3 linked regions of the Pelodiscus sinensis genome follow. The protein of the gene in region 2 interacts with the protein of the main gene of each other region in a pairwise test. Links are inferred from orthologs where the notes say so. Each region holds a gene or a part of one and is shown on either strand. Other genes may lie near its edges.

Evidence for each region.
Region 1: the proteins of CCDC33 (region 2) and NDOR1 interact in a two-hybrid assay, tested with the Homo sapiens proteins (2 studies listed by BioGRID and IntAct). The two-hybrid records come from large-scale screens. The link is inferred for Pelodiscus sinensis from reciprocal best matches to the Homo sapiens genes CCDC33 and NDOR1.
Region 3: the proteins of CCDC33 (region 2) and TTC19 interact in a two-hybrid assay, tested with the Homo sapiens proteins (2 studies listed by BioGRID and IntAct). The two-hybrid records come from large-scale screens. The link is inferred for Pelodiscus sinensis from reciprocal best matches to the Homo sapiens genes CCDC33 and TTC19.

Annotation. Positions count from the first base shown.
Region 1 is NC_134732.1:2,440,062-2,443,804, forward strand, and holds the start of NDOR1 (NADPH-dependent diflavin oxidoreductase 1), read left to right. Parts: upstream 1-891; 5' UTR 892-982; intron 983-1,746; exon of another isoform or gene 1,747-1,749; coding exon 1,750-1,884; intron 1,885-1,983; exon of another isoform or gene 1,984-2,104; coding exon of another isoform or gene 2,105-2,140; intron 2,141-3,743. Other genes in the region: TMEM203 (transmembrane protein 203), read right to left, coding at 398-805. UniProt on the Homo sapiens protein: NADPH-dependent reductase which is a central component of the cytosolic iron-sulfur (Fe-S) protein assembly (CIA) machinery.
Region 2 is NC_134724.1:39,170,525-39,174,267, forward strand, and holds the start of CCDC33 (coiled-coil domain-containing protein 33), read left to right. Parts: upstream 1-828; 5' UTR 829-1,177; coding exon 1,178-1,195; intron 1,196-2,898; coding exon 2,899-3,062; intron 3,063-3,743.
Region 3 is NC_134731.1:3,239,635-3,243,377, reverse strand, and holds the start of TTC19 (tetratricopeptide repeat protein 19, mitochondrial), read right to left. Parts: upstream 2,157-3,743; 5' UTR 2,121-2,156; coding exon 1,976-2,120; intron 883-1,975; coding exon 779-882; intron 1-778. Other genes in the region: ZSWIM7 (zinc finger SWIM domain-containing protein 7), read left to right, coding at 2,334-2,356. UniProt on the Homo sapiens protein: Required for the preservation of the structural and functional integrity of mitochondrial respiratory complex III by allowing the physiological turnover of the Rieske protein UQCRFS1.

The sequences.
Region 1 (3,743 bases), on a different chromosome or scaffold from region 2:
CCAACCCCATTTAACCCGTTAACATTTGACCGGTTAACTAATTAAAGGAGATTTTTACATCCTTACTGGGTAGTCACTTATTTTTTGTTCAGGTCCAAATTTCTCAGTCAAGGCATAGCGAGCTCACATGCCCCAAGCAACAGTTACAAGCGCTGGCTTTCTTAAGAACGAAGGACTAAATATCATCGGATACGTTTTTATTACAAAACAACGGACACGAGCAGGCGATGCGCGCACGTCACGGCACTTCCCCACGAAGACCCAGGCGCCTCAGCGGAACGACGCGGCCCGCGTCTCCCCGTGGGGCCCAGAGTACGTCATACTGTCACGAAGTCCCAACGCGCCCCCGGGAGTGGCCCGACACGAGGCGGCCGAGCGCGCGTCCCCCTGCGGGGGCTCAGTTGACGCGGCAGGCGCGGATCATGAGGAGCTGGAGCAGGATGAAGACGGGCGACATGATGAGCCCGTACCACAGCTCGGGGGTCTGCTCCACCAGCTTCTGGCACAGCAGCATCTCGAAGACGAACTTGAGGCTGAGCAGGGTGAGGACCCAGAAGAGGCGCAGCACCGCCAGGCGCTTCTCGCCGTCCTGGAAGAGGCGCACGGACACGATGGCGGTGAAGTAGGTGCTGAGCCCGTCGGCGGCGAAGAAGGGCCCGAAGACCCCCCACCAGGAGAGCGCGGCGACCCCGTCCAGCTTCAGCACGAGCAGCAGCGAGAAGAGCGCGAGCGCCCCCGCCTGCAGCAGCAGCTCGAAGGTGGCGAAGCCCAGCCACTGCACCAGCTCCCGCAGCGAGAACAGCATGGCGGACCCGGCCCGGCCCGGCGCGCGCGGATGCCGTCACCGGAAGCGGAAGGAGCGCGCGGACGGCCGCACAGGTAGGCCGGGCGGGCGGCCGGGGCTAGGGGGCGCGCGGGGGGCGGGGCCTAGAGGGGACCCGGCAGCGCAGGTGAACGGGGGAGGTGGAGCCCAGCAGAGCAGGTGACGGGGGGGGGGGCGCATCCTGGTGTGGCCCCGGGGGGGGCAGGCAGGTTGCAGTGGGGCAGGTGAGGCCCTGGGGGGGCAGGCAGGGTGCAGTGGGGCAGGTGAGGCCCTGGGGGGCAGGCAGGTTGCAGTGGGGCAGGTGAGGCCCTGGGGGGCAGGCAGGTTGCAGTGGGGCAGGTGAGGCCCTGGGGGGCAGGCGGGGCCCAGTGGGGCAGGTGAGGCCCTGGGGGGCAGGCAGGGTGCAGTGGGGCAGGTGAGGCCCTGGGGGGCAGGCGGGGCCCAGTGGGGCAGGTGAGGCCCTGGGGGGCAGGCAGGTTGCAGTGGGGCAGGTGAGGCCCTGGGGGGCAGGCAGGGTGCAGTGGGGCAGGTGAGGCCCTGGGGGGCAGGCAGGGTGCAGTGGGGCAGGCGGGGCCCAGTGGGGCAGGTGAGGCCCTGGGGGGCAGGCAGGGTGCAGTGGGGCAGGTGAGGCCCCGGGGGGCAGGCGGGGCCCAGTGGGGCAGGTGAGGCCCCGGGGGGCAGGCGGGGCCCAGTGGGGCAGGTGAGGCCCTGGGGGGCAGGCAGGGTGCAGTGGGGCAGGTGAGGCCCTGGGGGGCAGGCAGGGTGCAGTGGGGCAGGTGAGGCCCTGGGGGGCAGGCAGGGTGCAGTGGGGCAGGCGGGGCCCAGTGGGGCAGGTGAGGCCCTGGGGGGCAGGCAGGGTGCAGTGGGGCAGGTGACCGGGAGCTGCAGCTCCTCTGTGCTTTATTGATTAGTTTTGCCTCCTCCAGATGGCGGAACGGAAGCTCCTCGTTCTCTTTGGCAGCCAGACGGGAACAGCTCAGGATACGGCCGAGAGAATTGGCAGGGAAGCCAAGCGGCGCCACTTTCACTGCAGGGTGGAGGCCCTGGACAGTTACCCTGTGGTGAGTGGGGGGCGGGGGAAGGGGGTAAAATGGATGTTGAGGCAGAGAAGAGCTCTGTGCAGATTCTGTATTGATCCCTCCCCACTGAGTTCCTTCCAGGGTGTGCTGGATGGCACCCTGCACCTGGGCCCTGGCTTGCATGCTGTCCCTCAGAGTCACCTACCTGGCACGCCTGCTGTAGTCTGCTGTAAAAGACTGAGAACCAGGGAAGGAGTAAAACATGCTTTTAGCTGCGTTCAAGCAAACTGGTGTCCCGGTGAGTTCAGTAGAGCCATTTTCTATAAGACAAAGAGCATGAGCATGTCCTGCAGAAATGAGAGCTGGGGTTTCTGTGGCCAGAATCAGATAAAACAAGGCACTTGCATCGTTCCCACAAAACACAAATGGGTCTTGCTAACACCTGTTGTCAGTAGGGCTGTCAATTAATGAAGGGCAGAATTAATGTGTTAATTTTTTTAATGTGAGTTAATCACAGACGTTTCTGCAATGCTGCCCCTTTGAAACTCTGCCACCACGTTTCAAAGGGGCAGCACAAAGTGGAGCTGGGGTCAGCTGGAGTCTCTAGCTGACCCCAAGCTCCATGCACGCTGCCCCTTTGAAATGCTGCTGTCATGTTTCAAAGGGGGAGTCCGGGGTCAGCTAGAGTCTTATAACAGCACAATTAATCGTGATTATTTTTTTAATCGCTTGACAGCCCTAGTTGTCAGTGCTGCGTGGGGGTGGGGGATGAGATGCTCTGACAAAGTGGGCCAGGCCCTTCTGAGGTCAGGGCTGTACAGATGTAAACCCCAGATCCTGCTGACGAGACGACCCATTCTGTGCCCACTTGCCTGTCTGTCCCAGAATGCCTCCCTGCTGGCACCTGTGCTCTGTGGCTGCACGAAGGGTTTGGGCAGTGCTGGCAGCAGATTTGTTGGACGGCTGGAGACACTAGACTGGTCAGTGCAGGTCACGCAGGAGAAAAGCGTTACTGCCCAATGGCCCATTGGGGCCTAGGAGATACGGGGGAGGCAGAGAACCCCAGGCCTCTGTACTTATTTCCTCAAGTTTTGTTTGTTGCTATTACTGTGAATCATTATCAGTGTTGTTAATCATACCCTCTGTCTGGGCTCTGGGCCATGCGTGCCATCCTGCTCTCTGCTGGTTGCTGATCCCACTCCTGTTAATTACCATTGCTGGGAGGGCTGGTCTGATCTGTTGCTCTGTTATAAATCCCCTCGCGGTCACCAGGACAGTTGGATGCGTGAGGCTGTGCTGTAGCTGGATGGAGAGAGTTCAGTGTGGCACCGCCACACGCACCTTTCCAAGCTAGGGGCATTCCTCGTCAGCTACCCGCAGGGGTCCCTTGCTGGAGAGCTGTGCAGGGTGCCCCTTGAGCTGCTAGGGGAAGGGCTGGTGGAACTGGCTTTCTGCCCCAGCTCTCTGGAGGAGAAGGCCCTCACGCTGCTTTCTCTAGGTGAACGGCAGTGAGCATCCACGCCCTGCACAGCGTGCCGGGGTTGTGACCTGCACCGGCATGTAGCGGCGACATGCGCATTACTGTGGCCAAACAGCCAGGGCTGTGTGTGCATGGGAAGGGTGTCTGGGCTGGGGGTAGCAGCATGCGTGCGGGGGTAGGGAGTGTATGTGTTGTACTGCTGTGGCTGGAGGGTGGGGGCATGCTGTGGGGTGAGGGGCTGTGCCGTGTCCTCTTGCGGGCAGCGTGTGGGTTTGGTTGTGTGGGTGAGGGGGGTGTGGGGCTGTGGCTATGTGGGGGGCTGTGGTGTGCGAGGGCAGTGTGTTGGGGCTGTGGTGTGGGGATGGGCTGTGTGCCGTTGTGGGGGGCAGCAGTGTCTGCAGCTGGGGCTGTGAAGGGAGTG
Region 2 (3,743 bases):
TTAGAAGCAGGCGCCAAGCGGCGCTGCTCATAGGGTTGTAACCATAGGCGTGTGCAGCACATTTCATTAGGGTGTGCACCCAAAGAATTTTGACCCCCATTAGCCACACCCCTGACTCCCATTAGCCAGACCTCTGGAGGTAACACTCTCGGGGCAAGATGGGCTCATGACCAGATGTAAAAGGTGTCACGTGACCCACCATCTTCCTACCAATAGGGATTAGTTTGGCTCCCACCAAACCCCCCTCATGCAACTATTCTGCAGTTGCATTACCCCAATTTGGGTCACATTAACTCGGAGGCGGAGAGGCTGGAGGAAGTGTCCCCTCTAAGAGTTTCCTCCCATGAGCAGAATGAATTTTGTGTTTTGCACCAGTACTGAGGTCATGTGGCTTGTTTGCATGTGCCACCGTGGCACCCAGGTTATTAATAAATATCATATGAACCTCGACCTTTTCCCTCTGCTGCCATGTCTCCCCCCTTTGCTCCATCAGCTCCCCTGGTGCCTGCTGCCCCCCAACCCCTCATCCTCCTCTGCTGTTCTGACTCCTGCCCTTCTCACTGCCCTCAGCCCTCTAGGACCTGCCCCCCTCCACCATACTGACCCAGTATGGCCGTTCTTATGTTCTTATCTTCTTAGTGTCACCGAGCCAGGTTTGAAGCAGGTGGGGTGTTGTGTAGACAGGCCCTGCCTGACGGCCTGTGTGTTGTGAGGGCAACCAAGCCCGAGCCCTGCCCGGGCCCTTTCACTGTGCTGTCACACAACTCAGAACCCTCACCGGCCAATCGCCACGGGGCACCTGCGCTGCTCGTGGAGGCAGTAACCAGGGTGCCCACCGGAGGTCTGAGAGCATTTCTTCCCGAGGCCTGAGCAGAGGCAGCGTGTGTGCTCAAGGCACAAGAGTACAGGCCCATTGCCATGGGGATGTGCAGGGGGGTCGCCACCCCAGCCTGTTCCCTCCTCAGCCAGACTCTCAGCACTGAGCTGAGCGGGGTGCTTTTTGTTTAGGCCTTGCACTTCCAGCCTCCCCTGGTAGGGGTAGAGCTCCTTTCTCCTGTGCTGCCTCTGGCTGGCTGCCTGCTCCTCACCCCTCTCACCAGCTCCCTGCACAGAGGGAGCAGTGGGTTCCAGGGGCACAGGAGGGGCCTAGAGCGCTGCCCTCTGGCTGAAGTCAAACATGGGAAAAGCTCCCAAGGTAGGGAGGCGCCTGCCCATCAGGCATCAACATTCATCCATATTGATAATTCCTTGTGGGGGAGAGAGGGCTGGTTACTTCCTAAGTTTTGTGCCTTTACTGGGCCCAAATTGTGTGTGCTTCAACCTTCTGTGCATCTCCAGAGATGCAGGCGCTGGTTAATCTCCCCGACTCCTGGTGCGAGCGTGCTGCCTGTGTATGCCTACACTGCCCCCACTTCATTATTGCCCTGTCCCCCTTCCCTCCCTGCTTCTCTCTCCCACCCAGTCTCCTGCTCTCAATTCATCTGCCAGCCCATATGTTCCCTCTTTCAACCTCACCGTCTTCTATCCATTCTCTACCCTTTCTCCTCCATTCCCTACCTTTTCTGGGTATGTCTACACTACCCCCCTAGTTTGAACTAGGGGGGTAATGTATGCATACCGAACTTGCTAATGAAGCCCGGGATTTGAATTTCCCGGGCTTCATTAGCATAAAGCCGGCGCCGCCATTTTTAAAAGCCGGCTAGTGCGAACCCCATGCCGCGCGGCTACACACGGCACGGACTAGATAGTTCGGATTAGGCTTCCTAATCCGAACTATCTGTACACCTCAGTCTCCTTCCTGCACTCCAAACTTCCCACCCGCTCATGTTCTACCTTCTAACTCCACATTCCTTTGCATTCATCTCCGCCTCCCTCCTGCTCTCTGCTGATTAGCTCCCTGGTTGGCAGTTTCAGCAGAGAAGATGACAGGGCCGTACAAACTTTGATTCCTCCTGCCTGGAGGAGTCTACTCTGCTGGCTTGGCTGAGGCACATTGGCAGGGCATTGTTGGGGAAGCTGTGGGCTCTCACAGCTCCTTTTCCTGGGTTGTGAACTCCTCTTCCTCTGCATGTATTACTCCTGGAGGTAGAGTCCTGCAAATCTGCACATATCTGCTTTGTATCCATGGGTACAGGCGACTCTGCACTTATGACCTACTTGGTTTCTGAAGAACTGCCGTAAGTGAAGCTGTCATAAGTTGAATCCTTATTTCCCATAGGCGCAATCTTATAAATGGCAGTTCCATTCCTGGAAACCCATTTCATACCCTAAAAATGCCAAAGTTGACTACAGAAATGGAGGAAAATGAAACAAAATAGTTCAAATAATTCACAAAAATAACTAAAAAGTGAAGACCGGTGTGGCGCAGTTCAAGCAGCTGATGCAGACGGCGAGTCTGACTGACCGTGTACGTTTCCTGTTTTGGGATGACACGTGGAGTCTGCGTCATACGCCGTCGTAAATGAGAGCTGTAGAAGTAAATTGGGAGGTTTTAGGAGCTATCTTACATGGAAAGAAATGGCTGTAAATGCGGTGGGTCGTCAGTCGGGGGTCACCTGTATCTGCATCCACGGCTCATTTTGCAGTTACAAATGCGGACGTGGATACAAATTTTGTATGCATGCAGCGCTCTGCCCATGGGAGTTACATGTGAATAAGGACAGAAGAGGAGACATCTATGAATTTACTTTTGCTCTGGGACTCAGCCAGTGGACACATTTACATCCATTGGAAAGACGCCTCTCTCCAAGTAGATGCAAAATATGCAAGCTCAGCTTGTTTGCAGAGGGTACACACCTGAGCCTTTAGAACAGAGCTGGAGATGTGGATTGGTGGGAGGCAGAAGATCTGCATCAGGGAAGAACAAATGCTGAAGTTCCTTCTGCTTGTGCCTGGCAGGTAGTGGAGTCACCCTGTGGAGCGGATGAGGCTGCACGAACTTCAGAAACCAATCACTGGCACCTGGCGCACACTGGGAAGGAATCCATCTCCGTCACTCTGCATGGTGCCACCAACCTGCCAGCCACCCAGAAGGGCACTGTGCCATGGCCCTATGTCACTGTGTGAGTACTGGGGAAGTTTGCTTCTGGGCTTTGGTTAGAAGATCTGCTCTTGTAGCAAGGAGATCAGGCAAGGAGTTGAGACTGTGGTGCAGGCTATAAGCCTGGTCTCTGCTCATCTGTTTAGTTTTCATCTGCACAGTAATAGATTGCACTGGCAAGGTATCACAGGAGGATACATCTCTCCGACCTGAATGCACAGCGTGAGAAATCAGAGACACTGAGAATCTTGTGGGAGAGGAGCGTAACGTGCACAGAGATTTACCCCTGTTGTCAGAAAAAAATGATCTATGCAGCTCTCCGAGTGGAATGTCTATTTCTAACTTCCTTTTGTTCAAACCCTGCCTGTCACACCGGTGATTTGTGCTATGGAACGCCATATATATTTTATAGCAGCAATGTGAGGGGAGAGAGTGAAACACACTAACCCCTTGCAGCGGGGAACTAGCATATGATCAGACTGAAGGTTGCCGCATTCACACTCAGGTGGTCAGAGCTGCCACGTACCCAGGGGGTAGCCCCAGATGCAGTTTTGCTCAGTTGATGCAGCTGCCCAGACTTTGCATAATGAAGCAAATGAGGCGAAGTGTGGAATACTGCAGCGCATCATTTGCATAATTAACGAGGCTCTGTTTTTGCGCAAGAGGCTTTCACGCAAGAGCTGTTCTTCCTGAAAAAAGGGGA
Region 3 (3,743 bases), on a different chromosome or scaffold from region 2:
CTGGAAGGGGAGAGGAGGGACAATCTAGGATGATTAGAGACCCCGGCAGGTGGAGGTGTGCCCAGCGTAGTGGCAGGCCAAGAAAGGGCACCACCGGGCAGGTGACCACACCTGGCCTGATGCTGCTCACAGGAGCAGAGAGAGACCAGCACACGTTGCCAGATGCTGCCCTGATCAGTGACTTGGGAAAAGCAGGTCAGCTCTGGCTGCCTTAAAGACTCCTCAATGCTGATGCTTGGGCACCCTCCCTTGCTCGTGCATCTAGACTAACGATGTTAAAATGAGAGTCATTTGCTAACCGTGGAGCTGCTGAAAATGTGAGTGGTTAAATGATTACACAAGGGGCAGTAACCAGCTCCGCTGGAGCTGGCCTGCGCAGGGAGCTGGCTTAAAAGACAGTTCCCAGCACGCACTGGCTCCTGTCTGCTACCCCGCTCCGTGGGACACAGAGGCAGCAACGCGGGGCGGTCACTCCCCAGGAGCTGGAGCCACGTGTAGCTCACGCTTATAAGTTAGCCTCTTACGTACCGAGTCTGGATGGGCTCATCCACCTGGATGGGTGGCCGAGAGCCCTGAATTCATCTCACAACAGGCCTCCCATTAGCTGTCGCAGTGGACGTTCCCAGCAATTCCCCCACCACACCAGCATGCTTCTTTCCCTGCCATCACTGTATGTAACAAGTTAATTGTGTAACAAGCTGGCAGTCCTGGTCACTGAGTAAAGCTGTTGGGGCCCAGCACACACAATTAGCAGTTCTCCAGGGGCTCAGGAGCTCACCTTGGCTTTTTTCAAAAGGAATATAATGGAGTCTTCAGTTCCTGCACTCTCCCCTTCCCGGGTCCTTTCCTCTTCCTCAGCATTTTTAGAGAACAAGGAGAAAGCTGGGAAGAGAAACATTTGACGGGATGTACAGGAGGCCCCCAACTTCCGACGTGATTGGTTCCTTGGGAAGTGTCATAAGTTGGGGGCGTCGTAACTCGAATGCTCATTTAGGATAGGCACCGTGCCCGGTCACAAATGCAGGCCGAGGACGTAAATCGGGTTTCCGGCCCCTTCTGCCCTTAAAAAAACGGTTCTAAGTGAAGGGGGTTGGAACGTGGGGGGTCGGAATTCGGGCGGTCACAAGTCGGGGGCCTCCTGTATTAGGAGCGCTGCTGTGTGGAGACAGCTGAAGGGGTTTTGTTCTTCTGGGCCCAGGATGGGGATTCGCCTTTCAAACAGCAGGTTCAGCTCAGCTTGTTGGAGTCACCCACCCAGTGCTGCCGCCCTCTCCCACTTACTTGTAACAGCCCCTCCCCCCATTTCTGCCTCACCCCCATGCAAAGAGGTTTCCCATTCCCCAGAGTCCTGCCCAAACAACGCCCCCCCCCCAGACTTCCACCTCATGGCCTGCCCCCTCCTAGCCCTGTCGGTTCCCCTCCCCCCCTTCCCACAGGCCAAGCACAGCTACCCCCCAATAGCCGCCTCAGTGTCGGTCTCCTCCCACCTGCCTGCCAGGCCCCTCCCCTCCATGAACCCCCCCGCCAGTCCCGGGGCCCCGACAGCTCCCTGCTAGCTGACCCCAACAGCCTTTCCCCCGGCCCCCCGCCCCCATAACTAGCCCCCCCCGACCCCCCATAACTAGCCCCCCCAGCCCCCCGCTCCCATAACTAGCCCCCCCGGCCCCCCCATAACTAGCCCCCCCCACCCCCCCATAACTAGCCCCCCCCGGCCCCCCGCTCCCATAACTAGCCCCCCCTGGCCCCCCGCCCCCATAACTAGCCCCCCCCACCCCCCCATAACTAGCCCCCCCAGCCCCCCGCTCCCATAACTAGCCCCCCCGGCCCCCCCATAACTAGCCCCCCCCGGCCCCCCGCTCCCATAACTAGCCCCCCCTGGCCCCCCGCCCCCATAACTAGCCCCCCCCACCCCCCCATAACTAGCCCCCCCTGGCCCCCCGCCCCCATAACTAGCCCCCCCCCCCTCGGGTCTCACCTGCCAGGGCGGCCAGGACTCCCGCGGGGCCGGGCCCGCTCCGCGCCCGCAGGGGCCCCGCCCCCCGGCCCCGCCCGCGCGCCCCGCGCCAGAGTCTCCCCGCGGCCGCCAGCAGCCCCGGCCCCCGGCGCAGCGCCGCCAGCATCGCGGTCACGTGACGCGGGAGGGCGCCCGGCCGTCTCTGGTCATGTGACCTGCCCGCCGGAAGTGGCGAATTCAAGTGACCCGCCGCGGGGCCAAGGGGAAGTGACGCGTCCAGGTCATGTGACCGCTTCGCCGCGGAGCGCGGGAGCAGGTGGGTCTCGAGCCGGGCCCCGCACCTGGGGCTTGGGAGCGGGGAGGCGCGTCCCCTCCCAGCATGCCCCGCGGCACAGGGGCGAGGTACGTCCCAGCATGCCCTGCGGCCTCACGGAGGGGCATGTCCCGGCATGCTTTGCAGCCCCCCCACACACAGAGAGGGGCATGTCCCGGCATGCTTTGCAGCCCCCCCCCCCCCACAGAGAGGGGCATGTCCCAGCATGCTTTGCAGGGGCCCCCCCACAGAGAGGGGCATGTCCCGGCATGCTTTGCAGGGCCCCCCCCACAGAGAGGGGCATGTCCCGGCATGCTTTGCAGGGCCCCCCACACAGAGAGGGGCATGTCCCGGCATGCTTTGCAGGGCCCCCCACACAGAGAGGGGCATGTCCCGGCATGCTTTGCAGGGCCCCCCACACAGAGAGGGGCATGTCCCGGCATGCTTTGCAGGGGCCCCCCCACAGAGAGGGGCATGTCCCGGCATGCTTTGCAGGGCCCCCCACACAGAGAGGGGCATGTCCCGGCATGCTTTGCAGGGGCCCCCCCACAGAGAGGGGCATGTCCCGGCATGCTTTGCAGGGCCCCCCACACAGAGAGGGGCATGTCCCGGCATGCTTTGCAGGGCCCCCCACACAGAGAGGGGCATGTCCCGGCATGCTTTGCAGGGGCCCCCCCACAGAGAGGGGCATGTCCCAGCATGCTGTGTGGCTGCACAGGCAGGCCTGGCCCCCACGACCCCCAGAGGGGCTTGGCCCAGCAGGCCCTGGTCCATCTTTTTCTGCCTGCCCCTCTGCAGAGCACAGCGGGGCCCGGGCATTCAGGGGGCCGGGGAGCGGTGGCTTGGTGGTCTGGGGGGGCTGTGGAGGCCCCTCTGTGGCCAGTCCCCAGCTGCTAGCCAGGAGGACAAAGCGAATATTGACAAGCTGCGGCTGCAGAGTTTGACCGGGAAGCCCCATGTGTCTCCTGCCTCGCTCCTCCCTTTCTGGGGTGGAATCGCTTGAGGAGCGGCGCTGTCTCTGATTGGGTTGCCACCTGTCCAGGGGTTGACTTCATTTGGGTGCCTTTTAGGGGTGCCAGGTGCTTGGTTTTTTGACCAGAAAGCCAGTTGAAAAGGGGACTTGGCAGTGTCTGGCTAGATGTACTGACTGGATACTAATAGTCCAGTTATTGCAGGGTGGGGGGAGACGCCAGCTCATTAGCCCCTGCCAGCCTTGGCTTAGCCAAGGCCACCTCCTCTCTGCAGGCAGGATCCTTGAAAGCTGCAGCAGCTCCTGCCATAGCTTAAAGGAGAGGGAGTACAGCTGAGGTGGGGATAGGTGATCCACCCAGTAACCAAAGGAGAAGGGTGTAAGGAAGGGAAGAGGTAGAGAGAGGGAGAGGCCTTGGGGGAAGGAGCAGGGGCGGGTCCCTAAGGGACCAGTTACCAGCAATTAGAAAAGTGGCAACCATAGTCTCTGAGGTTATGCACCCGTTT